4 linked regions of the Schizosaccharomyces pombe genome follow. The gene in region 2 interacts genetically with the main gene of each other region. Each region holds a gene or a part of one and is shown on either strand. Other genes may lie near its edges.

Region 1 (7,848 bases), 2.7 Mb from region 2:
CCTCAAAATCTAGCTCTTATCAATCTTAAAGGCAATTTTTTACTGTTTAAATCATCTTGAATATTTTCTTATATTTCCTTTCAACGATTTAGCATAGTTAATTATCATCACTCAACCAAATTTCTTTAGCATTATAAACAAGCCATTGCGAAGTGTGTTTTGTCCTTGGAATTTAATGGATTAACTGTTAGCATTTATTTTATTTTTTTCTAAATTTCTGAGTTTTCTTACTTTTGTTGTCTATAATGATCAAAACACAAGGTTTGAGTTAATATACTAATATTTTTCTTTTACCAATTTATACATTGTAATAAGATAGGTTGTAAGATTTAAAGCGAGCTTTTGATTTCAATTGAATACAAATTCGCCAAGCCGTTATAAATTTACATTTAAAGAAAACAGTTACATGGATTACTATCAATGAAATAGTAAAAAATACTCGATTGGAAAACTTGGCCTTTTGGAAAGCAATTTAATGCATTTTTTAATACATTTGCAAATAAGGATCAATAGCAAAATATAACGAATTTTAAAGATGCATAAGTATTCATCGCTAACTTTTGGTAGTCACGATAACTACTGGCGAAACAATTTTCTGACGCCCGCCAATATCGCTGGATCGAGGATTGTTCATTCACCTGCGTTCTGCGATTGTATTATTGAAAAAATGACGGACACTCATCCAGGAGTTGATTTTATGATCAAGCCTGAGGCTACTTCTGCTTCTAAAATTGATACCGCTGAGTGGCCATTGCTCTTGAAAAACTTTGACAAGTTGCTCGTTCGTACTGGTCATTATACACCTATTCCCTGTGGTAATAACCCTTTGAAACGTCCAATTGCGGAATATGTTTCTTCAGGTGTCATCAATTTAGACAAACCGGCTAATCCATCTTCTCATGAGGTTGTTGCCTGGGTTAAAAAAATTCTTCGTGTTGAAAAAACTGGTCACAGTGGAACTTTGGATCCCAAAGTTACCGGATGTTTGATCATTTGCAATGACAGAGCCACCCGTTTGGTCAAATCTCAGCAGAGTGCCGGTAAAGAGTACGTTTGCGTTTTACGTCTTCACGACTCAGTTGAGGGTGAGCGTAATGTTGCTTCTGCCATCGAGACTCTTACCGGTGCTTTGTTTCAGCGTCCTCCTTTAATTTCAGCTGTCAAGCGTCAGTTGCGTATTCGTAGTATCTATGAATCCAAGTTGATTGAGTTTGACAATGAGAGAAACCTTGCCGTTTTTTGGGCTAGCTGTGAAGCAGGTACTTACATGCGTACTCTTTGCGTACATCTCGGTCTTCTTCTTGGTGTTGGAGGCCATATGCAAGAACTTCGTCGTGTTCGTTCTGGTTGCCTTTCGGAAAATGATGATATTGTCACCATGCACGATGTCTTAGATGCTCAATGGATTTATGATAACACTCGTGATGAATCTTATTTACGTCGTGTTATCCGTCCATTGGAATCTCTCCTCGTAGGCTATAAGAGAATTGTGGTAAAGGATAGTGCCGTCAATGCCATTTGCTATGGTGCAAAACTTATGATACCTGGTTTACTTCGTTACGAAGCTGGTATTGAAGTTAACGAAGAGATTGTCCTTATTACTACCAAGGGTGAAGCTATCGCTGTGGGTATTGCACAAATGTCTACCGTCGAGCTTTCGACTTGTGATCATGGTGTTGTTGCCAAGGTTAAGCGTTGTATTATGGAGAGAGATGTGTATCCTAGACGTTGGGGTTTGGGCCCTCAAAGTATGAAAAAGAAAACTTTGAAGAAAGAAGGAAAACTTGATAAATACGGACGTCCTAATGAAAACACACCCGCGGATTGGTCTAAATCTTATATTGACTACTCTGATCCTAATGCAGAGGTTGCAAAGCCTGCTCCAGTTGTTGCGCCTGCAGCACCTACTGTTGAAGCTGAAGTCAATGGAGTCGAAGACAGCAAGAAGCGCAAATCGGTAGAATCATCTGAGAAGGATGAGGATGAAGCTGCTAAGAAAGAGGAAAAACGGCGGAAAAAGGAAGCTAAGAAGGAGAAGAAGGAAAAGAAGGAGAAAAAAGAAAAAAAGGAGAAGAAGAAGAAGTCTGAGTAAAATGCCCTAAATATCGTTCGTTTCTTCTACTGAATTTGGTCATTTTACAGTTTGGGTTTGTTATAAAGGGTTTTAAGCACAAAATCCCTTATTCCGAGATCCTATAAGTTTTTGAGATACCGTTTGAGGGTTAAGAAAGAAAGCGAAGTTTCAACCTTTTGCTTTTTTGACTTGTTGTTTTGGATATTAGCTTGTGAAAACTTAAATAATTTATCGCTATAGCCCTAATGACAATTACAATGCACATCCGCAGTTTCCTTAGAATTAAGCATGATTGTTTGATATTTAGCAATTCACTTTGTTTCCGATAGAAAGCGCATTGTCTTCGGCATTTGGATAATAATATTATCTTTTCTTTGAAAAGAATATGTTTATACTGTTTTCCTTTTAGTATTTTAGTATGTATATATTTGATCAAATTAATGTACTTAGATTGGTAATATGTGTATCTGAGCTTATTCCTCGTTATAGTATGTTAGGTACGAAGGCACTATAATGCCACACAGATTCTCGTGGACGACCATCTCGAAGCCATTGGATTTGGCTAAGTTCAGCTATTCCGTTGATCGTTTGCAATGTTTAGGTCACTGGCAAAGTTAAGATGCTTTGCCAGTTCGTTGGGATTATCTTCGCATAAAAATATCAAAAGTGTACCGTTGATTCGAAATATCCATTATATTCCTGATAATCCCTCTTATTTTACGCAAAACGCTAGGTTTAATGAAATCTATTTGCATTTGGAAAACATCCTTAAGTTTGCACCTAAAATCATAGCTGCTGAGGAAGACGTTCCGAAGTAAAGTGGAAAACGTTAGAGCAGTATCAAAAAGAGTTTTCTGATCCCAAAACAACTAAAGTTGGCTATCGAAAAATTACTCGTTTACTTAATGAATTAAACGAAATTGTTCCTGAGTATCGTACTGAAGCAGTGCAAAAAGCGCTTGAGAAGTTTATTCGCCCAGACATTGTCGTGAAAACCACATTAAAAAGCCAAATGCTTGATGAAAATGGAATGAGTATTACCAAAGGAAAAAGGAAATCGAGCAAAGCTACTGTAAAGATGCTTCCGGGAACCGGAAAATTTTATGTGAATGGGAGTCCATTTGATGTCTACTTTCAAAGAATGGTTCATCGAAAACACGCTGTTTATCCACTTGCGGCCTGCAATCGCTTAACAAATTACAATGTTTGGGCTACAGTCCATGGAGGCGGCCCAACTGGACAGTCTGGTGCTGTTCACGCTGCTATCTCGAAGTCTCTCATACTTCAAGAGCCTTCGTTGAAGCAGGTCATTAAAGACACGCACTGTGTTTTGAATGACAAACGGAAAGTCGAACGTAAGAAAACAGGTCAACCTAAAGCAAGGAAGAAATACACATGGGTCAAGCGTTAATTTATCTTTGTTTTTACAGATGTACGAATTAATCTATCTTTTTTATACAAAAGTTACACTTATCTGTCAGTCATTTCAAAAGTTCAGCATAAAATCTGATATTCTTATATAAGAATGCAAGTTATACGAGTTTCGGTCATTTCGTCTTCTACTACACAGCGAGGAAAAAACTTATGAGTTACTACTCTAATGTCATTAATACAATTTTTTTACAACTTTTTACAGTATATTTCAGAATAATGTTGATCTACCCTTTGCCATGAAATTTTGTATATGCACGCTTCTTCAAGCATTAGATCTGGATTAAACATATAAAATCTCAAAACAGAACCTGCTAACCAGAATAATTAAGGAAAGAATTTTAAGGTGACACAATGCATTTCTGATTTCTTCTAGTCGTTTCATTGAAAAGTAGAGCCCCTTTTTCATATTTATTTATGTATTGTTCTTATTTACTTTTCTAGTGTTTAGTTTGTTAACCAGAACAATCGGGTTGCCAGGACAACAACATTTTTTGTCCAATTTGAGCTCGTTATTTGTACATAAAATTTCAGGCCCTTTACAATTCTTTCTCTCCCAACATCTTAGTAGCTATGTCTGTAGGAACCGTTTACGGAAAAATTGGCTCTCCTCGCGTCCTTTTCTGTGTCAGCGTTGCCGCAGTCGCAGGTGTCGAGGTCGAACATGTTGATGTTCAACCTCACAACTTCCCTGCTGATCTCGCTGCGAAGTTCCCTTTGCAAAAGATGCCCGTCTTTGTTGGAAAGGATGGATTCCCTTTGTCTGAGACCCTTGCCATCGCTTTTTACTGTAAGTAGCAAAATCCTGTAAACTCCATGTTGACGATAATATCGTATGGTGCTTCGAACTTCTTCAGAGAGTAGTCAATGTTACGGTACTTTGTAACTTTGTATGATGATACTATTTTTTTTTACAGTTATCCCTGTCTAAAGCATAGTGTTGAGAATGGTAAATCTGAATAATCTTGTTAATATGAAGAAAGGAAAAAGCCCACGATATTAATTTATCCAAATAGATTTTTTGAATAACGAAATAATTTCTTTTGTTGATCATTGACCTGTTTTACTAATTGTCAATTTTAGTGGCATCTCTCAACAAGACTCGTGCTTTGAACGGTACTACTGCCGAAGAGAAGGCTAAAGTCCTCCAATACTGTTCTTTTACCAACAGTGAGCTCCCTGGCGCCTTTCGCCCTATAATTGCTCCCCGTGTCTTTGGCGCTCCCTATGATGAGCAAGCTGCTAAGGAAGCTGAAACTGCCATTGCTTTGATTTTCGCCCGTTTTGATGAGGAATTGGCTTCTAAGACCTACTTGGTTGGTTCTCGTCTTACTTTGGCTGATATCTTCTTTACATGCTTCTTGAAGTTCGGTGCTACCTACGTTCTTACCAAGTCTTATTTGGCCAAGTACACCCATATTTATCGTTATTACCAAACCATATACCACCAAGCTAAGTTGGATGCCATTACTGAACCTCTTAAATTTATTGACCAACCTCTTCCTATTATAAAGGCTGAGAATAAGGAGGCTGCTCCTGCTAAGAAGGCCGAAAAGAAGAAGGATGAGAAGAAGAAGAATGCTCCCAAACCTCAAGCCGAGGCTCCCGCTAAGCCCCCCAAGCACCCCCTTGCTTCTGCTCCTAATGGATCTTTTGACATCGAAGAGTACAAGCGTGTCTACAGTAACCAAGACACTCGTAGTGGAGCTCTTCCTTGGTTCTTTGAGCACTTTGATCCCGAGAACTACTCCGTTTGGAAGGTTGATTACAGCTACCCCGAAGATTTGAAGCAACCAGTCTTCATGACCAACAATCTTATTGGTGGTTTCTTCCAACGTTTAGAAGCTTCTCGTAAGTACATCTTTGGATGCTGCGTAGTTATTGGCGAGAACGGTGACAACACCATTACTGGTGCTTTTGTCATTAAGGGACATGACTATGTTCCTGCTTTTGATGTTGCTCCAGATTGGGGATCTTATACCTTCACCAAGCTCGACATTAACAAGCCCGAGGACAAGGCTTTCATTGAAGACGCTTGGGCCTGGGACAAGCCTATTGAGGGACGTGAGGTCGCTGACGGCAAGGTCTGCAAGTAAAAATGTTTGGGTGAAATGGATAAGGTAGGTTTGTTGGGAAGGCAATCCCTATTGTTTATTGATAATTCCAAGATTGAGTTTGTTTTAGCCTTAGAAAATGATTGATTTTACATTTCAAAAAGAGTAGACATTGTGTATGTTTGCTTATTTTTTGAATTCCTCCCTTTTTTTTCAATTCTCAAATGTGTATAAGGTTTGCTATTTGTGAAAAATCGTTAGCTCGCTTTATTGTAAATAAAGTCCACGTATGTTTGACCATAGTAGTATTCGTTTCCAAAGCAGTTCTTGGAATTTTAGTAGACGGCTAGGCGATTGTTTGTACATGCATTGCAAAGTGCACCACCCATCGTCAGCAATATTTGCAGTCGTTCTTGATATTTCCAGCTAAAGCATAACTGCATCAATATATCAGTCGGTTAGATACATGTAGCGTCTACCATGCACAGAAGCAGTTGATCTGCAAATCCGACCAATATCAAGTTATGGGCTAAGTGAAAATTACAAACTCAAAGGTGAGCACAAGTGAAGCAAATGAAACCAAGCTAGTCGATGCAAGTGAAGTTCATTTCTTTTCTTTGCACAAGAATTGATTTTGCGTAAAAATAACGATCTCACTGCTACACAATGAACCTGTCTTTTTACGAAGTTTGCGGCTACAGCGTTCCAATCAGCGGTGAAATAATTCACCCAAAAAGATGCAATTTTTAGCGTAGTGATTGAATATGAGAAATCGACGTTTACATCAACATGAGGTAAATAGATAGCGTAGTAGTGGTTGAGAGGGTATTTCTACGCTCGATCCTTCCTATATATTAAGCAGGACCATGTTGTTGCGATTCTTTATTAACCAACCACGATTCATACAATTCACATTTCTACGAAATAAAAAAGACAGGATTCTAGGGCTGCAATTAGGAAAACAACCGTTCAGAATGAGTAGTAGTTCAGGCTTAAAGCAGCAAGGGCTTGCACAAAAGAAGAAATTTCAGCTGGAGTTTGACCCTTCGTCTGTTTCGAAAAATGGAACGAAAACAGAAGCCAAGGTGGTTGGTACGGAATTTGGCGTATTACTAGTTCGTGCTCGAAACACCTACTTTGCGACGGCTGGAAAGTGCAGCCATTATGGTGCTCCCTTAGCCAAAGGTGTGGTTACGTCGGACGGCCATATTGTGTGTCCTTGGCACGGTGCCTGTTTCAATGCAGCAACTGGAGACGTGGAAGACACGCCTGCCATTGCTGCGTTACGTACCTTTCCTGTTACTGAGGAGGGCGATGGTAGCCTCTGGATTGAAGTGGAGGACAAGAACGACAATGGTGCCTCTGTTTTGCAACCTGAAGGCTGCTGGAGAAATAAGGCCACCGAAGTGTACAACAAGGGTAGCGTTGAGACTGAAGTGACGGCGCCTCACGTCTGTATTATCGGCGGTGGAAAGGGTGCCTCAGTTGCAGCAGAATACCTTCGCGAGAAGAACTTCAAAGGAAAGATTACCATCTTTACCCGGGAAGACGAAGTCCCCTACGATCGTCCTAAACTATCTAAATCCTTACTTCATGACATTTCCAAACTTGCTTTACGTTCTAAAGAATACTATGATGATCTTGATATATCTTTCCATTTCAACACTGACGTTACCAAGATTGATTTGGCCGAGAAAAAAATTTACTGTGGTTCAGATGAAAAGCCCACAGAGTCATATACGAAGTTGATTTTGGCTACTGGAGGCGAGCCGAACAAACTCCCTATTCCTGGCTTGGATTCGAAGAATGTATACCTGTTGCGCTCTATCGCCGATGCATCCAAACTCGCTGCCGTCACTACCGAAGCTGGTGACAAAAAGAACATTGTCATTATTGGAAGTAGCTTCATTGGTTTGGAGCTCGCAGTCGTGCTGAAAGACCATAATGTCTCGGTGATTGGAATGGAGTCGATTCCCTTTGAAAAGGTTATGGGTAAAGAAGTTGGTACTGCACTTAAAGCTTTGCACGAGCAAAATGGTATCGCCTTTTACTTGGAGAACAGCATTAAAGAGGTGAAGACTTCTTCCAATGACTCATCTAAAGCCGAACACATTGTGTTGAAAGACGGACAAAGTATACCCGCCGACGTAGTTATCTTGGCTGCTGGTGTAAAACCCAATCTTCGCTATTTGGGTAATGCCGTTTCTCTCGAAAAAGATGGTGGTGTCAAGGTCGATGAGCATTGTCGTGTTCTAGGTGCCGAAGACGTGTACGCAGTAGGAGACATTG
Region 2 (7,961 bases):
TCCAATTCATCGATTTGAACAGTCATATTGTAATAAGTTTAGCTAAAAACAAAGGTTATTTACATACAGCTCAACCATAAATCAAAAGGAAACGACAGCGTACTTAAACGTTATACGTTATTTAAATTTAAAAAACTGCTTAACGTATGCGTAAACATTCAGCAGTAAAATGGAGCATTCATTAGTGCATCTACTTTACTTTTAAAGCATAATTAACATTTCAACTTTGCATTTCGAGATACGTATCAAACTCTGTGCAATGGTATTTCTCCACATATAGAATTAGAAGAAATATATGTTTATGTAGATTAGCCTCTCTTTTTGTTTTGAGTTTGTTTTTGCAGTTGTTTGAATCGAACACTACAAAATTGAAATTGGGTCCAGGCAGTGCATTAATTGGCAAATCATGCACGATGAATCACGAACTAAACAAATATCTAGTATAAAAGCGCTCTTAAAGAAGTGGGAACATGAGTACGTCCATACGAACAATTGCAAACCTTCTAAGGAGGATGTGAAGAAACAACCAGAAATAGGTATGTAAGCCAAAGATACACTTGAATTTTTGAAGCAAACTAACGAACTTTTTTAGCGCTTTTATATAAGCAATACTACGAGTTGAAACGCGAATCCTCCATTACCCCTAAAAAAGCAAAAACAAAGGTCGACTTTAAGTTTCAAACTCCTACAAAACAGCGTGCTGAAACTGAAGCGAACGAGAGTCCTAAAGCGCCCCGAAATGATTATCTACAGGTTACTCCGAAAACTGTGGATAAAAGTCTTTTAGGTCCTACTCCACAGTTGTCACGTCGAGTACTTAACCTTCTTGAAGACATGTCTCCCATTGCAGATTCTCATGTGGATCAAATTTCGGATATAAAACATAACACTAGTGAAATTTCATCAACTATGATACCGACTACTCCATCAAAAAATCCCGAACCTGTGGCTCAACATACTCCCACCGTTCTTGAAACCCCCTCTTCATATCGCCTTCAAGTTTATACATCTCCTAACTTACTTCGAGTTAATGCGCCATGCCGAAAAAGTCTCAGTGAAATGCTTCGTGAGTTAAAAGATATTGAAGATGATTACGGATCAAATGAAGAGAAGATATTGCAGGAGTTTGAAAGCTTTAGTAGCTCATCTTCAGAAAGCCTTGTAGATAGAGACATATCACAACCTATGAAGAAAAAAATTAAACGACAAAATCGTCTTGTTAAATGTAAGGTTTTCTCCTGTTTGTACCTGAACTAACGTTTTAGTGCCCCCTTCAATGAATCTTTCCAAAAGTCATTTAGAAGGTCTTCCTGAAATAGACGAAGATGCGGAAAATGGCATTGACGACAATGAAGATACAACTGCTAGCAAAGATTCGTCACCATTTTTAGATCTGCAGAGTGAACGACAAAATAAAAAGATTATGAGAAACGGGCTTGTTATTGGAAAACAAGTAAGCCAGAATTATTCCTCTTACAAATTAAAAAAACGTAAATTTCGGCGTCACAGAAGCTAACATATAATTTGTCAATCGGAACTTTGCTGTTGTATTTAAAAAAACACATACTTTCTGATCTTCCTTAATAGGATATACACTTTTTCAATGAATGTTAAAGAGGTATATATATTTAATAAATCATGCATTCAATAAAACCTGGAAATAGATTTTGTGGGTTTTTGAGATTTAAATGAAATAATACATCATGAGTTTGTGGTATCCTGTTAAAAAAATTTTGGAAATATAAAAGTTTGAATGAATCATATATTTCTTGTTCTTAATCTTCGGGTAAAATCAAATTAGTTACTATCGAACGATAAACGTTTTATATTTTTACGTAGGCATTCGTCCAACATTAAATCTAAGACTGGAACGTTTTGATATACGAATATCATGAGGACGTAAGGAAAGAAGAAGTACAAAAAAAATCGAACCTTCAATATTGAAGCTGGCGAGAAAGACAAATAAAAAAACAGCTTCAAATAAGTTTGGATCTATTGAAATGAGGAATACATGAAAGCTGAATATCATCATTACTTTACATGGATTTGCATAGCTTATTCATCCTTAGGGGACAGCGATGCCAAATTTCCTCTTAACTAAATTTTTAGACAACCTAAACACCATACGTTGATGCTAAACTTCAAAACATGAATAGTCATTTCCAAATGTCATTTACAACTTAAGAAACCATGCTTTAAATAATAGATAGCTTATAAGATACAGGCAACAACTGTAATAGATTTTGGTCGCAACTCTTCAATTGTATTCAAAACATAGTTCAACCTACAATCAAGTTAACAAATCTTTTTAAAGACAAATAAAAGGGCTCTAGATAATCAGAATCCAAAAGAAGTGCATTGTGTAATTAACAAATACAGTCAATACGTTTCATTGTTTAAGGTAAACTTCTTTACTACGCTCTCTATATATTGTATTTTATACGGGGATAACATCAGCTCTTGTAGCTCAGTGGTAGAGCGCTTGCCTAGTAAGCAAGAGGCCCAGTGTTCAAGTCACTGCTGGAGCAGTTTTTTTTAAATTCCTACTTGATGCGGAATTGAGTAGAATTAATAAAACTAGCACCTGTGCAAATTATCACCATTTCATAATAATAGCTCCTATTAAACTGCTGTTCACCGTTTCTTTTTTTGTTTTCTATCACTTCGTAATCAAGTTTTAGTTCCTTAACCTTTGTCAATGAATGTGCTTTGCAGTTCGTTAGCAATGCAATAAGGTAGCATTCACTTTGCTGAAGTATAGTGGTCATGAATCGGTACCAACCTAGCCAAAACCAATACCATGTCTGGTATATCCAATGCAGAAAATGGTAAGGCAATTGTGTCTTCTGGAGTTTTAAATTCCGTTTCAGCATTTGTAAGGCGCCATAGGACATTTGTTTACACTATTGGTGCTGTTGCCGTTTTTGCTACAGTTGGGGGTGTTTATCATGTACAACAGAAAAAAGCTAGTCATAAACGTTCTAAAAAACTTAAGGCTCATCAAGATAAGGCTGAATCCAAAGTTAATGAAGGAAAAAATGAAGCTGCAAAGGTCGTAAAAGAAGAGGATCTTAAAAGCTCAGAAACTGGAAAGGATGTTGAAACAGCAGCCGCTGCTGCTGCTGCTGCAAAAAAGAAGAAGAAGAATAAAAAAAAGGTTAAAGCCAAGAAGGTCGGCGATTCTTCTGTCGATAAAATTGCTACTGAGGAATCGGTAAAATCTATGACGAAGGAGGAAAGGGCAAAATTGGCTGCCGAGTTAAAGACTCTTGGTAATAAGGCTTATGGACAAAAGGAATATGCTAATGCTATTGACTATTATACTCAGGCTATCACCTGCTCTCATGACCCTATTTTCTTCTCTAATCGTGCAGCCTGTTATGCAGCCATCGGTGATTTTGAGCAAGTAATTAAGGATACAAGTGAAGCTCTTTCACTTGATTCAAGCTATGTGAAAGCGTTAAATCGTCGTTCTGCTGCTTATGAGCAACTTGGTAAATTGGATGAAGCCCTTATGGATAGTACCGTTTCCTGCATTTTCGATGGCTTCGCTAATGAGAGTATGACTGCTACCGTTGAACGATTGTTAAAAAAGGTTGCTGAAAAGAAGTCGTCTGCTCTTTTAAAGGAACGTCCTCCTAAATTGCCAGCTGCCAGCTTTATCCAGACTTATCTCGATTCATTCCATGCTCAACCAAAACCTTTGTTTGATAATAAATTTGACGGTGATGCTGCTTTAGCAGAGGCTTATGAATATTTAGAAAAGGGTGAATATCAACTTTCGTACGATAAAGCAAAGGAATCCTGTCTGGGATCTTTCTCATCTCCTTCGGTTAATGCTCGCACTCATAATCTAGTTGGTACTTTTAAATTTGTATCTGGTGACTCTAAAGGTTCGATGGAAAATTTTAATGCAGCTATTAAATTAGATCGCAAGTTCATTCAACCATATATTCGTCTCTCAGCCGCTTATTTAGATGAAAATGATAATGAAAAAATGTGGAAGGTACTGAATGATGCAGAATCTGTTGATAAAACCGATTCGGATCTTTATTATCATCGTGCACAAGTTAGGTTTGTTTCTGGTGAGTTTGCAGAAGCCATTTCTGATTATCAAAAGTCTATTGCATTGGATGACTCTTTTATTTATAGCCATATCCAACTTGGAGTAGCTCAATATAAGACTCATGCAATTGCGGAATCAATGAAGACATTTGAAGATTGTAAAAAGAGGTTCCCTAATTCAAGCGAAGTTTATAATTACTTTGGTGAAATACTCTTAGATCAACAAAAGTTCGATGATGCTGTCAAGAACTTTGATCATGCAATTGAGCTTGAGAAGAGAGAACATCTAACAATTATGAGTGCAATGCCTTTGATTAATAAGGCTCTTGCTGTATTCCAATGGAAGAAAGATATATCTCAAGCTGAAAATCTTTGTCGACAGGCTCTATCGGCTGATCCCGAATGTGATATTGCAATTGCCAGTATGGCTCAATTCCTATTGCAACAAGGTAAAGCTCGTGAAGCCCTTGAATATTTCGAGAAATCTGCACAACTGGCTCGTACTGAAAGTGAAATGGTGAATGCGTTTTCATATGCTGAGGCTACTCGTACGCAAATTGCCTTGACTGAAAAGTACCCACAGTTGGTTGGTCGTTTAAGCAATCCTATGTAAACGAGATTGTATATGAGAATTACTGTTAGTCAAAATAAGCAGTTGGCGAAAACATTTTGAATGCTTTAAAAAGGTTCCAATTTTAATGTGGCTCGGAAATTTTTTGTTTGGATGACAGCAAGTGCTGAAAATCCTTAAACCAAACGAAGTTTTGTATACGGAACATGTTTGCTAATGTATTCTGGTTGACGGATTTTTGATTTTAACTTGATTCTTAGGGTTAGCAATAATGATATTTTGTTCGCTACTCCCTAAAATGTGAACTTATTATTTCTTTGTACTTCATGTTTAGTAGGTAGTGTATTTATTAACGACAGCAATAGCAATGAAATATTATACCCATTGAGATTCAACCATTACAGAATGTTATCATAATTTAGGACTCTAATTTAATATAAAATGGTAGGTGTCTATTAATTCTCTTTACCAAATAAGTTGAAATAGGCAGCTGAAGGTTTTTAGGAAAACAATATTTGGTTTCGTCATCAAGGGAGATGTAACCTAAGGGAGATATAACGCAGTAACGATTTCTCACAATCTTATATAGTGAAGAAAAAGGAATAGAAGAATATCCTATTAGAGAATAGCAAGCATCTTGAAGTGCACACCACTCTTCGCCATCGTCTTTCAAACAACAGAGGAATTTTATAATAATTACACTAAAATTGTTTTTCTTGAAGCAATTGCTTGAGAGGAAGAGTTGGTTAACGAAACTGAAGGTTCACTTATAAAACAGTGAACTTCGTGTTTTATCACTCAACGTAATCTTGACAATTCCCATGGAACTCACAAGACCGTTAGGTGATATCTCCTCATCAGCTACAGTTACCATTGAAAGTACGGAGGAATCCGCGTCAATAAGCCATGAAGAATCTGAGAATGTGCTCCATTTACAACCGGAACCAGTCAGAAGAGTTAGATGGACGGTAAGCACTGTAGATAATGAGCATATGAATAAAAAGAAATCGAAAGGTAAGTGAAGTTCTGGTGATTTTACGAAGAAGAGAATAGGCCTTGTTCCATCCTTTGGCAACAAGCACAACTTTCAGACTTATATTGATTTTAAAAATTGGACAGTATGAGTCTATTTATACATATCTACATTCTTTATCTTTGATTTATCAAAGCACTAGAGGCTTGATACACGAACATAGAAAATTAAAGGATTTAACATGATGTGATGCTAAATATTACTAGTGTGCTGTATCTTTCACAAACAGAGAAAGTTTGATGAAAGTTCATCCGATTCAGATAGTGATTCGGACTCGGATTCCTCTTGTTCCTCATGTTGCAGTCGCAATGCATATGAACGCGCTTAGGTTGTTCGTTGAGTCCCCTATATTGAAAATGAGATATAAGTCATATGTCTTAAGTATTTTTCTTAATATGCCAAAAACCCAATTCCAACATTACTTTTGAAACTTAAAATACGTTTTGAAAAGGAATCTCGATGGCTTTAGCAGTCATACCTTTGTAAAGGTTTTGAAAAATCCCACAATAAATGATAGCAGCTTTTATGCTTTTCAACGTTAGCCAGATACTCATCTTTTTCTTTTTAATGAACTTTACATCAAATGTATGAAAAGTGTCAAAGAAAAGTGCGGGACTTTTGATAAAAAAGAGACTGTTTGATATACTCGTAGATTCTGAAATAAATTATAATGCAAAACAGACATAGGTGCTTTTTTTAATTAGTTGGACATATCGGTAGTACAATAAGAATAACTTATCACCTTCGTCCACGTTTCATCCAGCTAGAATTCAAGTCGTAAACTCTGCGTTTATGTGGGGTAGCAATGTTCATTTCCTCGTCATCCTCATCCAAGACTGGGCGACCGGCGCGTACAGTTCTATTGCATACAATATGAGGCTGTAGTTGTGTATCTTCATTTCTTAAGACAGAATTGTCGTGATGGTTGTGAACGGAGGAATCGTTATCGCTAGAAGCGAGCTTCTCGAGGCAATACTGTGAAATAAAGTCAATACTGGCACCTGATTCAATAAGTTCAAGAACCTCCCGAAGAGCCTGATTGTACCCAGCTTTTTGTGCTTTTAAAACTTCAGTAGTAGACGCTTGATATAATTGAGTAACGCTCAAAGCTGCCTGCTTAAAATGAGATAAAACATTTTCATATCCTGATGATGTAGACAGATCATTTGACTGAGAAGGAGAGAAGTTTAAATTTGTATCCATTTCATTTTCAATATAATAAAAAATTATTAGTTGGTGTTTCTTTGTTAATTTTCATTAATCTCTTTTCGCTTCACATTTTAACGTATTATAGCCGTAGCTCACAAAAAAGAATAAAGTGTCAGTAATACTACACTACGCTATGATACACTACGTTGCGTATCACTATATGTCATATGTTGGAATACTAGCTAAGATCCGTTTATTGATAATCACGGGTAACTATCCGTCTATATACATAGATACCCGTTGATAACAACTATTTAGAAATATTATAAATAGCGTTACAACTGAACCTCGTTCCTCAGTTCAGTTATGAGCTATATTAGTGATAGGTAACATTATAACCCAGTTAATACAATACCTATACTCAGTTGCTACTTATACAACCTGTGTATTGTAATATAATAGACCACAAGGAAAACTCACCGCAGTTCTACGTATCCTTAAATCGGATACCAAACTGCGTAGCTTACATAAAGCAGTAGCTTTTTGTTGGTGAAGCTTATGGCGTTGCAAAATTTAACGAAAGTTTACGTAATCGATGCTACAACATACAGCGTCTATAATAACTTTGACTGCTGTAGTAATAATTGCTCGACATTACTGATGAAATTTATCTTAATTTTATAATTATTTGATCATAATATAATAATCAGTAAAATGAACCATTGGACTAAACACGAAAATTCCAAATGAGCAAGGAAAAGCCCTTCTTAGCTGTTGAAATGCAATTCATTAAACGCTGTCAAGAGGTACAATAAACTGCACGTTGTAGAAAGAACCTAACGGTATGGCTGGATTTTTCATCACTAAGTTAATTTAAAATTAAATAATAGATAGGAAACTAGATATAAGTTATAACTGCAGCAAGTTCAGTATGTATAATTGAGCTCTGCACAACTTTTTATAGTAAAGGCTAATATTGTGACAAAAAAAAATACTAAGAAAATTAAGTTGTCGAATTAAATTAATCCTAATTTTGCAAATGTGTCGTTCCAATAAAAATATAGGCTAACCCCCTTGATAAAAGAAAATAATCATGTGTTTAACGCTTTCTGACCTCAAGCGTTTTAATTGCAAATTTAGGAA
Region 3 (7,819 bases), on a different chromosome or scaffold from region 2:
CGATTTTGAGAGCTGCCACACCGCGATCCTTAATCATCATTGATGAATTAGGACGAGGGACTAGCACAACCGATGGTTTTGGATTAGCGTGGGCTATTACAGAACACATCGTGACTCAAATCGGTTGCTTTTGCCTTTTCGCAACACATTATCATGAAATGACCAAACTATCAGAAGAAATCACTACTGTCAAAAATTTGCATGTTACAGCCTATGTAGGTGATTCAGAATCGAAGGATGTAGCTTTACTCTATAATGTTTGTGAAGGAGCTAGTGATCGGAGTTTTGGAATCCATGTTGCTAAACTTGCGCACTTCCCTCCCAAGATTATTGAAATGGCAAGCAACAAAGCCGCAGAATTAGAAGCTGAAGACTCTGGAGCCCAAGGGGATACTCAAGAAGTGAAATCTAAAAAAGAAGGTATGGCAATTGTACGTGATATAATGAGACAATGGCGTAGCAACGTCAAACCAGAAATGACTCAGCAACAAATGATGGACCAATTTCAAAAAGTCATCGGCTCATTCGCACAGCAAATCAATTCCAACAACTGGCTACAATCCAGGGTATCCACAAATGAGGTTTCCTCATGAAGAATGTGAGCAAGGTACTAATTGAAAGAATTCAACCAAGGTACATGTTTTTTGGAAGCGCATTTTATGAATAAAATAATTTTTTACTAAAACGAGGAAAAGCCATAGATCAATGAATTTTATAACCCAAAACTGTTTCATTTGCCATAATAACCAAATAAAAAGATATAAATGGGAAACGAACCACTAGTTTTCCAATTAATCACAGCTTGCACAACCATTACAACCTATTTTCATTAGCAACTGGTAGCAATAGCACTTCTTTACTTACCACAATGAGTACATCTCACACGTTGATCTTTATCAAGTTTTGATTTAGGTACACGACATATACACGTTGAACCAAATTTTGACTCAGCGGTTTGAATACAGCGCAGACAACAAAGTTTCTCGTATCCTGGTTTTTTCCATTTGGCGATTAAATTTCCATCGGCATAATTTTGTTTTAGCAGCCAGTTGTAAAGTTCGGTAGATATGGCTTCCCGTTTGTAGTATAAATCGTATATATAACGACTGCGCTGATGATGAAGTTGAAAAATCGGTGCTAGCATTTCCGTCTTAGTTCCCTTTCCCATTGTATTCTCAATTTGACGCATACGATCTTGGAATTCAATAAGGGTGGGTTCTATTTCATCAAATCCGTCAGGAGGGCTATAGCTAATTAGAATCTTACTTCGTAGGTAAAAATAAAGGTAACAAGGAAAATACTTGGTATACATACCGCTTGGTTCTTGACGTTCGAAGACGAGGCATGATAACAGAATATTTTTTAAGCAAACTACGACTTTTCTTCAATAAACCAACACAGAATAAGGAATGCTTGCTTTAAAGAGATTAAATATAAAGAAACCGATAAAATGAAATCTAGTGATGGGTAGTTTTTATCCTTTTACTTATTTGGTGGTAGTGTACTTATGGGCAAGTTGGATTTGTGAGAATCCAGTGTAAATTCCTTGTAAAATAGACTGCCGCGATTGAAACTGTTGCAAGATATTCTTAACTATAGAAACTAAGTTTTTTCTCCGTTAATTAAATTATAGCCTCTTCAATTGAGGATAATTGAGAATTTTTGAATTTGTGTCTCCACTATATTTTATACCTTAACATATGGCCAAAAGGGAACCAGATGCATTTGTATACTATAATACTACAATACTGTTTTCATGGTATAACATTGACGCTCTGTTGTGTTGACTACTAATCATATATTAAAGTTGATTATCGATGGATATTAGCGAGAATTTTGTCTATTGAATACTAGGCTCGATAATGAGAAAGCGGCAATTAAACCTTCCCTAACCTCCACATGGAGTTCACGGATGTGTTTTATAATTTAGAGAATGAAAAGCAATTTTTGGCGGGTATGCAATTTATTCATAATTGTAAACTTGAATGTGCCTGGGATTCATTATCCTGGCTAAATAGTATTCCCGTTGACGCTAACATTTGGTGACAGAAATTGACGAACTTTTAACTATACCATACGAAAAAAATGAACTGGAAATTGGTGTTTCAAAGTTTCTTTCTTTTATCAACAAATATGGAGGTAATGTTTTGGAGAATTGGGGAAGCACAATTTTCCGTGTTTTTCCTATGGATGAAATACAAAGAAATTGAGTGTTTGTCTCTTTATAGAACATCTTATCTAACAAAATAAATTCAATAGAACCGTACCTAATTACAGAATTCCAATTGCAGAGATGTATGGAAAAGTTCCTCAATAGTCCGCTTTATCAACTAGACGAAAACGCCGTTTTAAGTATTTTCTATGATTGCTTTTTTTTCTTGAAAGAACAACAAACTTTGAAATTCATAATCATTGTCTTTCAATCCGAAATTCAAGAGAATGAGTACTGCTTGCGTTTGTTGGCTTCTACGGGGTTCATTCCCGTCTTGATCAAGGCAATGAAACAGTTCAAGGATCGTTCAGAAAATGTTGCTTTTACATCTTTTCGTTATGCTTTATTCTTAGTGTACTATATTTGTCGCTCGAGACGACTTTCACCGACCGACTTAGTCGCAATTGATGAATATTTTTTAGTAAACCTATTCAAAACGTCGGAAGAAGCTTGGAATGATGAGGACATGGACAGTTTTGGAATGTGCGTCTTGACATTGCTTAGCATCAATGAACAGTTTATGCTTGTTCGGCTTGCTTCCAAAGGTTCGTTTGAAATCGCAAATGGCATAATGGATTTGCTGAGCTCTTCCAAAGTGGATAACGGTATCTACAGTGAAGGCCTAGTTTTCACTCTAAATCGAGAAAAGGATCCACGCTCTCGAATGTTAATACTAAAACAACTATTCCTTCTTTTTACAACTCCCGCTACGTATGAGATATTCTATACCAATGATCTCAATGTCCTAATTGATATATTCATACGCGAAATAAACAATATTCCCGATGAGCTTTCGGATCTTCGGTATGCATATTTGCAAGTTTTGATTCCTTTGCTTGAAAATACACAGGTGCGCCATCCACCTCATTACAAAACTAAGTGTATAGTCGACGCGGTCAATAATGTCTTAATTTCTCACTCAAAAAGCAGCAACATGGAAGATGCACGTACTACAGATGTTGCCATACGTGTTTTAGAAGTACCGTGGCTTCAACAAGAGATGAAGTCATTAGGAACCGCTCAATAATTTTTATTCTACTACTGAAAAACTTTTTATTTTTTTAAAGCACCTCACTCGTTTCCTTCATTTATTGTCAGATCAACCAAAAAGAATTGCAAATTTTAACCAATCTCCTTTCCACTCTTTTTTTTAATACTTTCTCTCTCCTTTTGCCAGTCTGTTGTTTTTTGAAAAGCCAGTTTTGGCGTATTACTTCTTGCAGAAAATTGATAAAACTTGGAGAAATTTCTTTGGAATGCAAAGAAAATGCTAAAAGTTTAAACACTGCAATTTTCATATCAATGAATAGAAAATCTCTAGTTAGACATATCCATTGCAAAAGAAGAAGTGAAGAAAATTTTTAAATAACAAACGTGAAGAATGGCATAAACTAATATAGGAATGCTTAATTAATAATACCCCTATCAATCATCTAACATTTTCTGTAACTTTCGGTGATCGTAAATGTGCAAGTTAGACAACGTAATTTAGATTCATCGTCGTCTTTGAAAAAATAGGTGATTATTCGTAAACACAAAACTTTCTTTTGAAAGGGTTCAGTTAAAAATTTCACCATCAAAAATGAAAGAACAGAGTAAACAGAGGAAGGGCAGGAAAAAAAAAATACCGCTTTGTTTGATTTGCCAAAGTTGAAGATGAGTAATAAGTACTTAAGCATAAAAATGAAAACATATTAGGATGGGGGAAACCTAGATGCAATGAGATTGTATGAGAGTATTCAGGAACAGCTAATTCAACTTTTTTGCGCCTTGAGCCTCGAGTTTTTTGATAGCTTCTTGTTGCTGATGCTGTTGAACTCGAAACTTTAGAAAGTAATTGACCTAATCCAGAAAAACAATGTTAGTGAGAAAGAAAAAAAGAAGTAATGGAGATCTTTAAGGTAATAATTCAAGAGAATTGCAAAATCGGAATTTCTCGTTTCATTTCATACCAGCCAGATTTCATTTACAATTTTGGCGATTCATACCCAAGATTTTACGCAATCAGTTTCGAAAGCGGTTTTTTCAGCGGAACAAGCCTGGGCTGCTTTTGTATCATCTTTCAATCCATCCAAAATGGAATGCCTATCCAAACAACCAAAGTAAGCATCTCTGGCTTCCCAGCATTTTTCTCGAGCACTTCTTCGTAATGCGCCGTTACCAGCCATGAGTTCGTAACAAAGCTTGAATAATAAATTTCAACAAGGCCGTTTGGTGATGAGTTTTACGAATAATAGTTAAAATGTACCAATCGAGTAATCTAACGGATTAGTTTCCAACCAAAAATGAAAATCCTGGTTGTAAAGGGGGGAAGAACTAAAAAAAAAAGGAAAAATTGAATGGAAAGATTTACTTGAAACCAATAAAAACGATCATTTAACGGTTACAAGAATGGTTTGCTGCTTGCACACTCCTACCAGCGATTGTTTTCCTAAAGAGTGGCTGCTTGCTTTACATATGACAGCATTGCCGTATGTGACATCTAAATGATTGCTAACTGTAATAATGAAAAGCAACATGATTTGCAAAAACCGTTAGTGTGTCAGCAATTCTACACTACGCTATAATATAGTACGTTGCGTATCACTATATGTCATATGTTGGAATACTAGCTAAGATCCGTTTATTGATAATCACGGGTAACTATCTGTCTATACACATACTCGCTGATAACAACTATTTAGAAATATTATAAATAGAGTTCCAACTGAACCTCGTTCCTCAGTTTAGTTATAAGCTATATCAGTGATAGGTAACATCATAACCTAGTTAATACAATACCTATATCCAGTTGCTACTTATACAACCTGTGTATTGTAATATAATAGATCACAAGGAAAACTCACCGCAGCTCTACGTATCCTTAAACAAATACCAAACTGCGTAGCTGATATAGTGGATTGACGTTTTCATTTCGCTATCCTTAGCAATCACCTACGCTGACTATTCGGTAAACATGGGAGCAAGTAGGTAAATTCAAGAGATGAAATGATGAGAGATAAACCAATGCATCGCAAACCATGCAATGACACAGTTTTGAACCTTTACGGAGTGTAAAGTTTCTGAAAATTGAAAAGAGTAATCCGAAGGGGACGAACCTAAAAATTTTACAGTTTAGGAAGCGAATTGTTGCATTGTTGGAAGTAGAGAAAGGATAAGGAAGGTAAGAAGAAGAGAAAAAGAAAAAACATCGTTCATTGTAGAGAGAAGTTTGAAGGTTATTTTTTTATAATGTGAATTTAATTTATTTTATTTTAATTTTATTTTGTTCTTATTTTTTTTTTATTTAATTTGTTCTTACTTATTTTCTCTTACTAATTTTTTTCCATATGATGACTGCATGAACGTGTTTTCAAACAAATCAGCTTTTATTAAAACAAAGCAAAGAAAAGTAATGATTATTTTAATTATCTATTTAAAGATATCTATTTATTTACATATACATACAATCTAATACGAAATGCATCCAAAACAATTCTTCCCATTCATATTTCTTTAACCTTCAATAACCGTAACCCCATAACCCTAACCTCGTTTTCTTCTATACTTTTAGCCAAACAAATCGCAAATCATCTGACATTGGCACATTTCTCTACATTCTCAGCTCCTTCTTTTCTTTACATCTTCATGACAATTGTTTCACCCGTCTGTTCTTCTTCTTCATCGTCTACTGCTCTCGCATTGCCTTTTCTCTTGTCCTTCCTTCCTTTCTTCCTCCAGCTACACAGCGCTGCGCTGCCACGTGAAGATGCGAAATTGAAAATTTCAAAAAAGGGCCCGTGCTGGCATCTGACATAATCGAAATCCAACGTCCTTTCTTACCTTTTCCAACCTTCATAGCACATCGATCGGTCTTGAGCGAATTCAGTCGATTTCAGCACTTTGCGTCACCATGAGCTCAGTTGCTAAAATGGATCATAGTGCTCTTTTAGGGTGTCCAGTTTTCGGTTACAATGGCATTTAGTGCAAATCAACGTTGCCTGCCAAGTATTATGCAGTGCGGTATTGTTATGTAATATAGTATAATACAGTACATTATAATGCTCTATAGCATGGCGAGAAGAAATCAATGGTTACAAGGTAAAGAAAGAGTCAAATAAATAGCAATGGACAATAGACTCACAAGGAACATCACAGGTAAGTAAGTGTAGAAAAGGGAGGGTTTCAAGGAAAAGTAACTTTTTATGAAATCAAATCAATAAATGTTTACATATTTATAAGAATTCACCTTTTTGGCATTGTTATTCTCCATTTTCGCTATCCATTTCTTCAATGTTCGCTTCATGACTAACAGTTTTTTTTTTTTTTTCTCTCTTTCTTTGACTCATAAATGTTTTCTTTCATAATTTTTTTTTCTTATTTCTTTTTTTTACTTAATCTCGTTCACTTCGTGATACATCTTGCGTTCACTCCTACTTTACGCAATCGACCCTTTTACGTAAGATCGGATACGTGGTTTAATGAAAACAAGGATGATGATGTGTTTGTGAAGTGTTGAAACTAGTTTATGATCATGATAAGTTATTTGCAACTGTTAATGGAATGATACAGAAATTAATATATATATGCGTGTGTGTCCTCGCGATCCATGTGCTACGACGCTTGCTTTTTTTGATAAATAGAATCATCAACTCAAGTTTGGTTACGAACAAAAGGAAAGGAAAGGAAATTAAATCGGAATTGAATTATTATAAAAATAAAATAAAATAAAATAAAGGATAATTTAGAATTAATTAACAAAGTATTATTTTATTTGGTGAGAATTCTATTTTTCTTTTATTTTTTTGAATTTCATTCCACTCCTATTCATTGATTAATAATTGCCCTTCTATTCTTCTTTTTACATCACCATATCTTCTTATTCCTTATTTATTTTTTATTTACTTTTGGTTTATTATTGTTACGACTTTCCTCATTTGTACTAGGTAAAACTTGATTTCCTAGTTTACTAGCATTCCTCCTTCCTATATACTCTGTGTGTATGTGTGCTTATTTCACGAATATTTATCATTTACGACTTGACGAATTTCCATTTATTCACAAACTGTTTCAAACTCCGTTTAATTGATTTTAGATTATAAAAACATTCCTCTTCAATATGGCTACTCAAAACGATATCCCTAACTCGACTCCCGAGGATTTAGCGAAACAAGTTGAAATTGCCGAAAAACACCCCGATCCTCCTGCTATGCCCTCGCGTCTTCCTGACTCTTTAAAAACCCTCGAAGCTAAAATCGACACTTCAAAGATTACCGACGAAGAGGTTGCCAATGTCCATCGTTTTCAACGTGCATGTGATTACCTCGCAGCTTCCCTGATTTTCCTTTCCAACGGTCTCTACACCGGCGGTGACCTCGAGGAAAAAGATATCAAAACTAGACTGCTAGGCCATTGGGGTACTTGTCCCGGCTTGAGCATCGTTTACTCTCACTGTAATCGTATCATTAATAAATATGATCTCAACATGCTCTTTGTCGTAGGCCCTGGCCATGGTGCTCCTGCCATTTTATCGGCTCTTTTCCTTGAAGATTCTTTGGGCCCCTTTTACCCTCGATACCAATTTACCAAGGAAGGCTTGAACAACCTTATTAACACCTTCTCCCTTCC
Region 4 (7,063 bases), 1.5 Mb from region 2:
TGGTCAAGAAGCGGAAGATCCCTTTAGCGGGTTTGATGATCTTGAGGATACAGACTCCACCTCGCAGTACTTGAACGAAAATTCAGGTAGCTTTAATGGTAGCATAAACTCAATAATCAATTTTCCAGATATGAGTGAAATATACGATGTCGGCCCAGAGTTTGAAAAAAAGCAATTTAGCGAAGATATTCAATGGCGAAAGAGAATTGATGGCTGGTTTTTTTCATTTAAAAACGATGACAGGTCACGACTATGGGAGCTTTATAATATACTTAATGCCGAACAATAAACAAGGTTTTGTCTTTACCTTGCGAATGTTTATATATAATTATACGAATGCTTTTGTTTATCGCAGATTTGATCTTTTTGTACATAGCTTAATACACTTCGAAGATTTTTCATTTTGTTTGCAAATAGATGTATAAGATGTACAACAATGATACAAATGTAATACTAATGTGACACCCAGACAAACTAGATTGTTTGAACAAGACAATACAAAGAAAATAATCAATTAAATTTGGACCGAATACATTATACCCTTAAATACCGTCTGTAATATAGAAACCATTTTTGCCATCATTATAATACTTGTAAGCGTCTTTTAACACATTATTGGGGTTGCCAAGGAGGTTGTGAGACATACCCAGAAGAGTAATTAGGATCCATATATGGATAGCCGGGATTATATGGGTTGGTAGGGGGAGGAACGGTACTAGGATTACCATGCCAGTCATTTCCTGAATCAAAATGCCTTTCACCATGGTGAATGGGTGGACCTCCCCTATATGGTTTACGACCCCGGAATCGCTCATCACGACGCATAGCAAAATCTTTTCCTCTTTTACTAATTGCCTTAGAACTTATTCCTAATCCAATTTCAATATCAGGTTCATCCAAAGCGATACCAGGAGTAATCGGAAGGCCACCCGTGCCGCCATATTCTGCAGTTACAAGCCAGGTACGATCGGCATCCGTCAACAAACGGATTGGGATAACGCTGATTCCTGTGGAAAAGTCAGAGCACTCTCGAGGTCCAAATCCTACACCCCATTTAGTACGAATAGTAGTATCAGCAAAAGGGACATTTTCCATCGCTACTTGAGCTTTCTCTGCAGCATCACGACGAAACATTTTCAAGAACCCGTGTCTGTAATTATGATTTAAAATTAAACTTTGTACAGACCCAAATCGTTCAAACATAGATCGAAGAACAGGTTCTCGCACAGAACGAGTAATACCACCAAGGAAAAGAGTACGGCTGTATACCTTAATAGAATCAGGTGGAATGGTTGGGTCACGCTCAAATCGGCGAGGAAATCCATCAGGGGTAGGTTTTGGCACACCATCTGCAGGAGGCAAAGTAGAAGGAATGGATAAATGAGAAGGACTAGGGCTACGACGAGGGCGACCACTACGAGGACTAGGGCTACGAGAACGATGTAAGGAGCCGAGTCTTAAGGATTGGGAAGAGGTAGGAGCTGGCAAAGGAACACTGCCGACACCAGCCGGCTGGAATGGAGCGTTATAGTTGGGAAAAGCAGCTTTCATGATGCTATCGATTTGTGCAGGTGGTACATTCTGAGAAGCCAATACATTCATGAGAGTGATCTGTTGACTCTGGGTATCATTGACCGATCCTGTCTTCATCCCCATGGGACCAGAGGGAATAGACTGTGGTACATTTGAAGGTTGGAATAGAGGGTTTGATAATGGATTGCCTGACTGAGACTGTGCATTAATGGCGGTAGCTGGATGAACAGGTAGGTTAGGGACGACAGCAGAAACGGATGGTGCGACGGCAGGCTGCGGTGGAGTGCTAACTGATTCTTCGGCAGCACTAGGGACGGGCGCCTTTTGAGCGAAAGCAGCCAATGCCTCTAGAATAGAAGCAGCATCGTTTTCGACAGGACGAGAAGTGGGGGCGGCTGCTTGACTACCAACAGAACCACCATTCCCCTCGGGATTAGTAGACTGTGATGGAGCAGCAGCAGAATCTACACTAACCGGTTCCGTACTTGCCATTGCATCTTTCAGCTTTGAACGAAGCGATTCTAGCTTCTCGGGAGGAAATGTTGAAGCCTTCTCCCAAATATCACAAAGCTTTAATATTTTAGGCTACATGCTTAGTTAGTTACAAATTAGTCCAATAATGTTAAAAGACTTCTCAAAGAGAATGATACTGTATTACAAGGAAAAAATACCTCTCTCATACAGTGTCTCGCTGATACAGAAGCAGAGAGAGCATACGATTATCCATACGGGATCTTATCCGTAGTCAACCTTGAAAAACTTCAGCTACACATACCAAATGAGCAGATGGCGCATGCTGTATAGCATCTGCGACCAAACTATCAGTTATTTCAGCAGCTTTGCACCAGCCGCCACTAAAAGACGCATCAACGGGATTTTCAAAAGATTCATTATTCTTTTTAGCACCGTCCTGAAAGCTACGAACGATTGAGTCTAGAATATACAAAGCTCCTAATTTATGGGTGACGGGAGCACGCTTCGCATACTTATACACACTAGCAACAAATTGCGCATTCTCTGAAACATTTTCCATCGACAAGTTAGTCAATTTCAAAATTTTTGATCCCGAGATTCCTGTCTTGGAATGTTCAAGGGAATCTAAAATACCATCGAATTCAGCGATTCCCGACATATCACAAGAAAAACGACAATGAAAAAAAAAAAAAACTTTTCAAAACTAGAAAACTACCCTGTTTCCTTTATAAGAATTTTACTACTTTTTTTCTTATATTAGTTTTTTACACGTGCTTGAAAGACGTTAAAAAAGGAAGTCACCCTGTTCTTAAATACTTTTTGTGTTATGGTTACGGTTAAGTGGTGAAGTAGGTGATGCTGGTTATAAAGCTGGTATTACGGAAGGGTAAGGAAAGTGCTTAAAGAGATGCTAAAAATTTCCAAAGTTTCACACTTTGTAAAAAAAAATATATATCATATTGTTTTAAAAAATGTATGAAAATTTTTAGTGTAAAAAAAAATAATAATAATGAGTAGCGTTTTTGTTAATTTCATGCCCATGATCCTTCTGGTAACAAGTTTGTCAGCCTCGACCACAAAATTGGGACTGCGAAGTAATCTCAGGGTTCGGGTTTATTTATGAGATTTACTATATATACAGGTACTCGTGCATTTGGTTCGGTATTCTCTCTTTGCCTTTTGGCTTAGATCAAGTGTAGTATCTGTTCTTTTCAGTTTAATCGCTGAAATCACCTCACTGAGGTGTTTCCGATTAATCTTGTTTTTGGTTTGAGTTGGAAAGCCTCTGGCTTGCTATGCTTTCCGACACTGGTGTTCTTGCTATTGCACTACTGGCAAGCGACGCCGAATCTTCTTCTGTTGACAGATTTGTGACGCATGAATTTGACAACATTGGATGGTTTAGGATGTGAGGTTTGAAAATATTTAACTTCGTACATTGATAGTGTGTGGTGAAGATAATATTGTTATCGTTGAAAGTAAGCAGTTTATTTAAATTTTTTCAGTTGCTAAACCCACTGAAAGAGAGGTTGAAGACTTGCTGATGCTATGCGTATTGAACTTTTAACACAGTGGGAAAGGTAATTAAATAATTTTATCTTTAAAATTCAGTAAGTAGTTATTAGTGGTTGGGGGTTTTGAGAATAAAAGTGAGGTAAGTAGTTAATGCTGTAAGCAATTGTGAACTGTAGAGTTGTGTTGACATTAGCATTTTTTTTCATTAATGCTTGATGATATCCTAATTTGTGGATAATATAGAAAGCATTTGACTGTTTTATGGTAGTCTAGATAGTCAATTTTTAGTGAAATGACTGAAGTCAAAGCATGTGATATACTGTATCGCATTTGATTTTGTAAACTGAGTCTAGCAATGTGCAAGGTCTCCTTTGTTATGCTTATGAAGATGGGTGTACCAAATGATATTGCTTATTAAGGAGCGTAATCATTTGCGATATGATTCAAGGTTGCTCCACCAATTCTATCTTTATTGCCATCTTTGATTCTGGCGATAATTTTTCGCTTCCACATTGCCAGACTTATATAATGACCCCCGGTATGTCTGATTGGGTTATTATCCTATAGCCACCACCGCCTTAATGAACTGAGACACATTGTATACTACTTAAAGTGGATCTCTTAGTTACGTTTGATTTAATTTTTTTAAGGTATAAACATAGACAACACAATCCTTTAATACCCATCTTCAACGGTTTGAGTGATTCATTGCTGATTAGTAAGGGGTGTATCAATCTTCATCAGCATCTACTTGTTCAATAGGTTTCAGGATATCTTTCGTTTGTTTTTCTTAGTTCTTTCAAACTTTCTTTGTTTTTTTATTCGTTTCTAGTCGATTAAAAACTTTAAAAAAATGTCTTCTGCATCCATGTTCGGGAGTCTTAAAACCAATGCTGTGGACGAATCCCAGTTGAAGGCTAGAATTGGAGTTTTAGCTCTCCAAGGAGCATTTATTGAACACATTAATATAATGAATTCCATTGATGGAGTAATTTCTTTTCCTGTTAAAACTGCTAAGGATTGCGAAAATATTGATGGCTTAATTATCCCAGGAGGTGAGTCTACTACCATTGGCAAATTAATCAACATTGATGAGAAGCTTCGTGATCGTTTGGAGCACTTGGTTGATCAAGGACTTCCTATTTGGGGAACGTGTGCTGGTATGATTCTTCTGTCGAAAAAGTCTCGAGGTGGAAAGTTCCCAGATCCTTATTTGTTGCGCGCCATGGATATTGAAGTGACTCGTAATTATTTTGGACCTCAAACTATGTCTTTTACAACTGATATTACAGTTACAGAGTCAATGCAATTTGAAGCCACTGAACCTTTACATTCCTTTTCGGCCACTTTTATTCGTGCTCCAGTCGCTTCGACAATCCTGTCTGATGATATTAATGTTTTAGCTACTATTGTTCATGAAGGCAACAAAGAGATTGTTGCGGTTGAGCAAGGTCCCTTTTTAGGTACATCGTTTCACCCCGAGCTGACCGCCGATAATAGATGGCATGAATGGTGGGTAAAAGAGCGTGTTTTACCTTTAAAGGAGAAAAAGGATTAGTTTTTTAAATTCATGCCTATAGTTGCATGTTGTATAATCCCACAAAAAGAGTTGAGACAGGTAAATGCCTCACTTATTATTTTAGTCAGTCATTAAGTTTTAAATAATAAATCCTTTTAGATTAATTTTTTAGATTTTAAGTGTTAATTGTTATTTGCTTTCAATCTTTTCTAGGTTCATTTGCGCTGCATAAGTTGCTGTCATTTCCATTGCTAAAAGCATATAGTTTGAATACATTATCAGTTAATCAAATGTTTATAAAAAATGCGCATTATTTTGGGTAATATAGATACACATTCCATAGAAAATTTAACCGAAGATTAAATTTTAGTACACTGGAATTATTCAGTAAGTGATAAATCAAAAATCAAAATTAAGAAAAAATAAAAAACTCCGTTGCGGGGAGTCGAACCCCGACCGCGTCGGTGAAAGCGACGAATCCTAGCCGTTGGACCACAACGGATTCCATGTGCTCTTTACTACTTAGTATAATTTAATATAAAAATTAAAGAATTGTTTATGAATGTGAAATGATAAATTAAATTGTGTCAAATCAAAATGTTTTTTCCTCACATCATGCTGGCTAATGTAATTAAATTTAATAGTTAGCTTGAAGTGCTCGTTCTCTTCAATTTTCCTTCTTACTATCTTGAGGTAAAACTAATGAATGAATTAATAATTCAAATGATTTCTGTCCACAACATTTATCTGGTAATAAAATATATCAATTCTTTAAACAAATTGGTTTTATAAATTCAGTTTCGAGCTGGATTCTTTTTGCTTTGATTTAGATTATAAATGTATCTTTGGCTTACTGTTTACGATGCTAATTTAAAAATTGACTTGCTTTTTCACGAATGAAGAAGTTCAAAAAAGAAGACTGATTATAATTACTTATCTGAATTTTTAACAGTACAAATACATACTTATCGTTAACACGACCATAGTCAGTAGAAACCATGTATTTTAGCTGTAGAGTTAAATTCTCCTAATGTTACTTTCATGATCTGAAAAGTCAACCACAAAGTTTCCATTAACAATTCTCTAACCTTCCATTGTAAGATACGAGATTAGCTGGTTGCGATTAACGGGATTTTGACAAATATTTTGATAAGTGCAGAAAAAAACTGGTTGTTTTCTTAATGCCTTTTTCACTTCCATCATCACAAATATGCGATTTTTCAACGCTCACAAGTCAGCGGAAGATGGGAATTACTCAGAGACAACAAATGCAATAAGTTTAAAAAATGAAAGACAATCAAGGGATTTGTCTGTCAATAAACATGGTAGGAATTAATTACAACTGTGTGTATAAAGCAGTTGACGAACTAAAAATATTGGTCATTGACAACCTAAGCTAATGTATTTATTAGGGCGGATGCTTTTAACTGCTTTGTTGGAAAATTTTTGTCGTATGTCTAAGCTCTCGTTTCATGTGAACTACTTGCTTACTTATTAAAGAACTGTATGACAATAATCCTGCCAAGTCCAAACGACTTTTTGCTTTAATTTGCCATACTCTTCAAAAAATAGGTATTTTGGAAGAAGAATATATTGAAGAACTTGCAGCCGTTAGATCCAATTATCAGGATGCTTTACACCATTTGATTCTGCAAGCGCGTGAGGCAATCCGTCTCGACGATGCTGAAGAGCGACTTTTAGCACTACCCGATCCCACCAATGTATTTGAAAAATTTCCACAAGAAACTGCTCTTTCGAAATTCTCTGTAGATGGATTAAATGTAAGACAGTTCCGATTCCGTGATCTTACGCTTGAGAGTTGGTTACAGTCAAGAAACTCTCGTTACATAGAGGACTTTGAGGAGTATTCTTTACTAGGAAGAGGTGGATTTGGATCAGTATATCACGTACGAAATAAGATTGACGGTGCTGAATACGCAATGAAGAAAATTAATTCAACATTTCAGCAAATGTCTTATTCCAAAATATTTAGAGAAATCAAATGTCTAGCAAAAATGGATC

What was found.
Region 1: mutations in tom70 (region 2) and SPOM_SPAC29A4.02C together harm fitness less than expected from each alone (positive genetic interaction), as found in Schizosaccharomyces pombe (one large-scale study listed by BioGRID).
Region 3: mutations in tom70 (region 2) and dip1 together harm fitness more than expected from each alone (negative genetic interaction), as found in Schizosaccharomyces pombe (one large-scale study listed by BioGRID).
Region 4: mutations in tom70 (region 2) and sno1 together harm fitness less than expected from each alone (positive genetic interaction), as found in Schizosaccharomyces pombe (one large-scale study listed by BioGRID).

What each region holds. Positions count from the first base shown.
Region 1 is NC_003424.3:5,139,740-5,147,587, forward strand, and holds SPOM_SPAC29A4.02C (translation elongation factor EF-1 gamma subunit), read left to right. Parts: upstream 1-4,063; 5' UTR 4,064-4,078; coding exon 4,079-4,295; intron 4,296-4,393; exon of another isoform or gene 4,394-4,467; intron 4,468-4,588; coding exon 4,589-5,601; 3' UTR 5,602-5,776; downstream 5,777-7,848. Other genes in the region: pseudouridylate synthase Cbf5, read left to right, coding at 668-2,092; aif1 (flavoprotein), read left to right, coding at 6,534-7,848. UniProt on the Schizosaccharomyces pombe protein: Probably plays a role in anchoring the complex to other cellular components.
Region 2 is NC_003424.3:2,430,592-2,438,552, forward strand, and holds tom70 (TOM complex subunit Tom70), read left to right. Parts: upstream 1-2,788; 5' UTR 2,789-2,800; coding exon 2,801-4,678; 3' UTR 4,679-5,032; downstream 5,033-7,961. Other genes in the region: DNA primase catalytic subunit Spp1, read right to left, coding at 1-26; drc1 (DNA replication preinitiation complex assembly protein), read left to right, coding at 407-536, 593-1,225, 1,266-1,516; SPOM_SPAC6B12.13 (protein phosphatase inhibitor), read left to right, coding at 5,458-5,650, 5,876-5,997; SPOM_SPAC6B12.14C (uncharacterized protein), read right to left, coding at 6,408-6,872.
Region 3 is NC_003423.3:2,337,231-2,345,049, reverse strand, and holds dip1 (endocytosis protein Dip1), read left to right. Parts: upstream 1-1,879; 5' UTR 1,880-1,899; coding exon 1,900-1,954; intron 1,955-2,049; coding exon 2,050-2,139; intron 2,140-2,259; coding exon 2,260-3,239; 3' UTR 3,240-3,648; downstream 3,649-7,819. Other genes in the region: msh2 (DNA mismatch repair protein), read left to right, coding at 1-593; cwf14 (G10 protein), read right to left, coding at 792-820, 865-1,244, 1,315-1,346; coa6 (cytochrome c oxidase subunit VIb related protein), read right to left, coding at 3,962-4,054, 4,201-4,380; SPOM_SPBC24C6.09C (phosphoketolase family protein), read left to right, coding at 7,311-7,819.
Region 4 is NC_003424.3:955,663-962,725, reverse strand, and holds sno1 (glutamine aminotransferase subunit), read left to right. Parts: upstream 1-4,080; 5' UTR 4,081-4,375; coding exon 4,376-5,080; 3' UTR 5,081-5,359; downstream 5,360-7,063. Other genes in the region: two-component GAP Byr4, read left to right, coding at 1-289; poly(A)site selection protein Seb1, read right to left, coding at 613-2,118, 2,309-2,665; eIF2 alpha kinase Hri2, read left to right, coding at 6,252-6,366, 6,454-6,492, 6,542-7,063.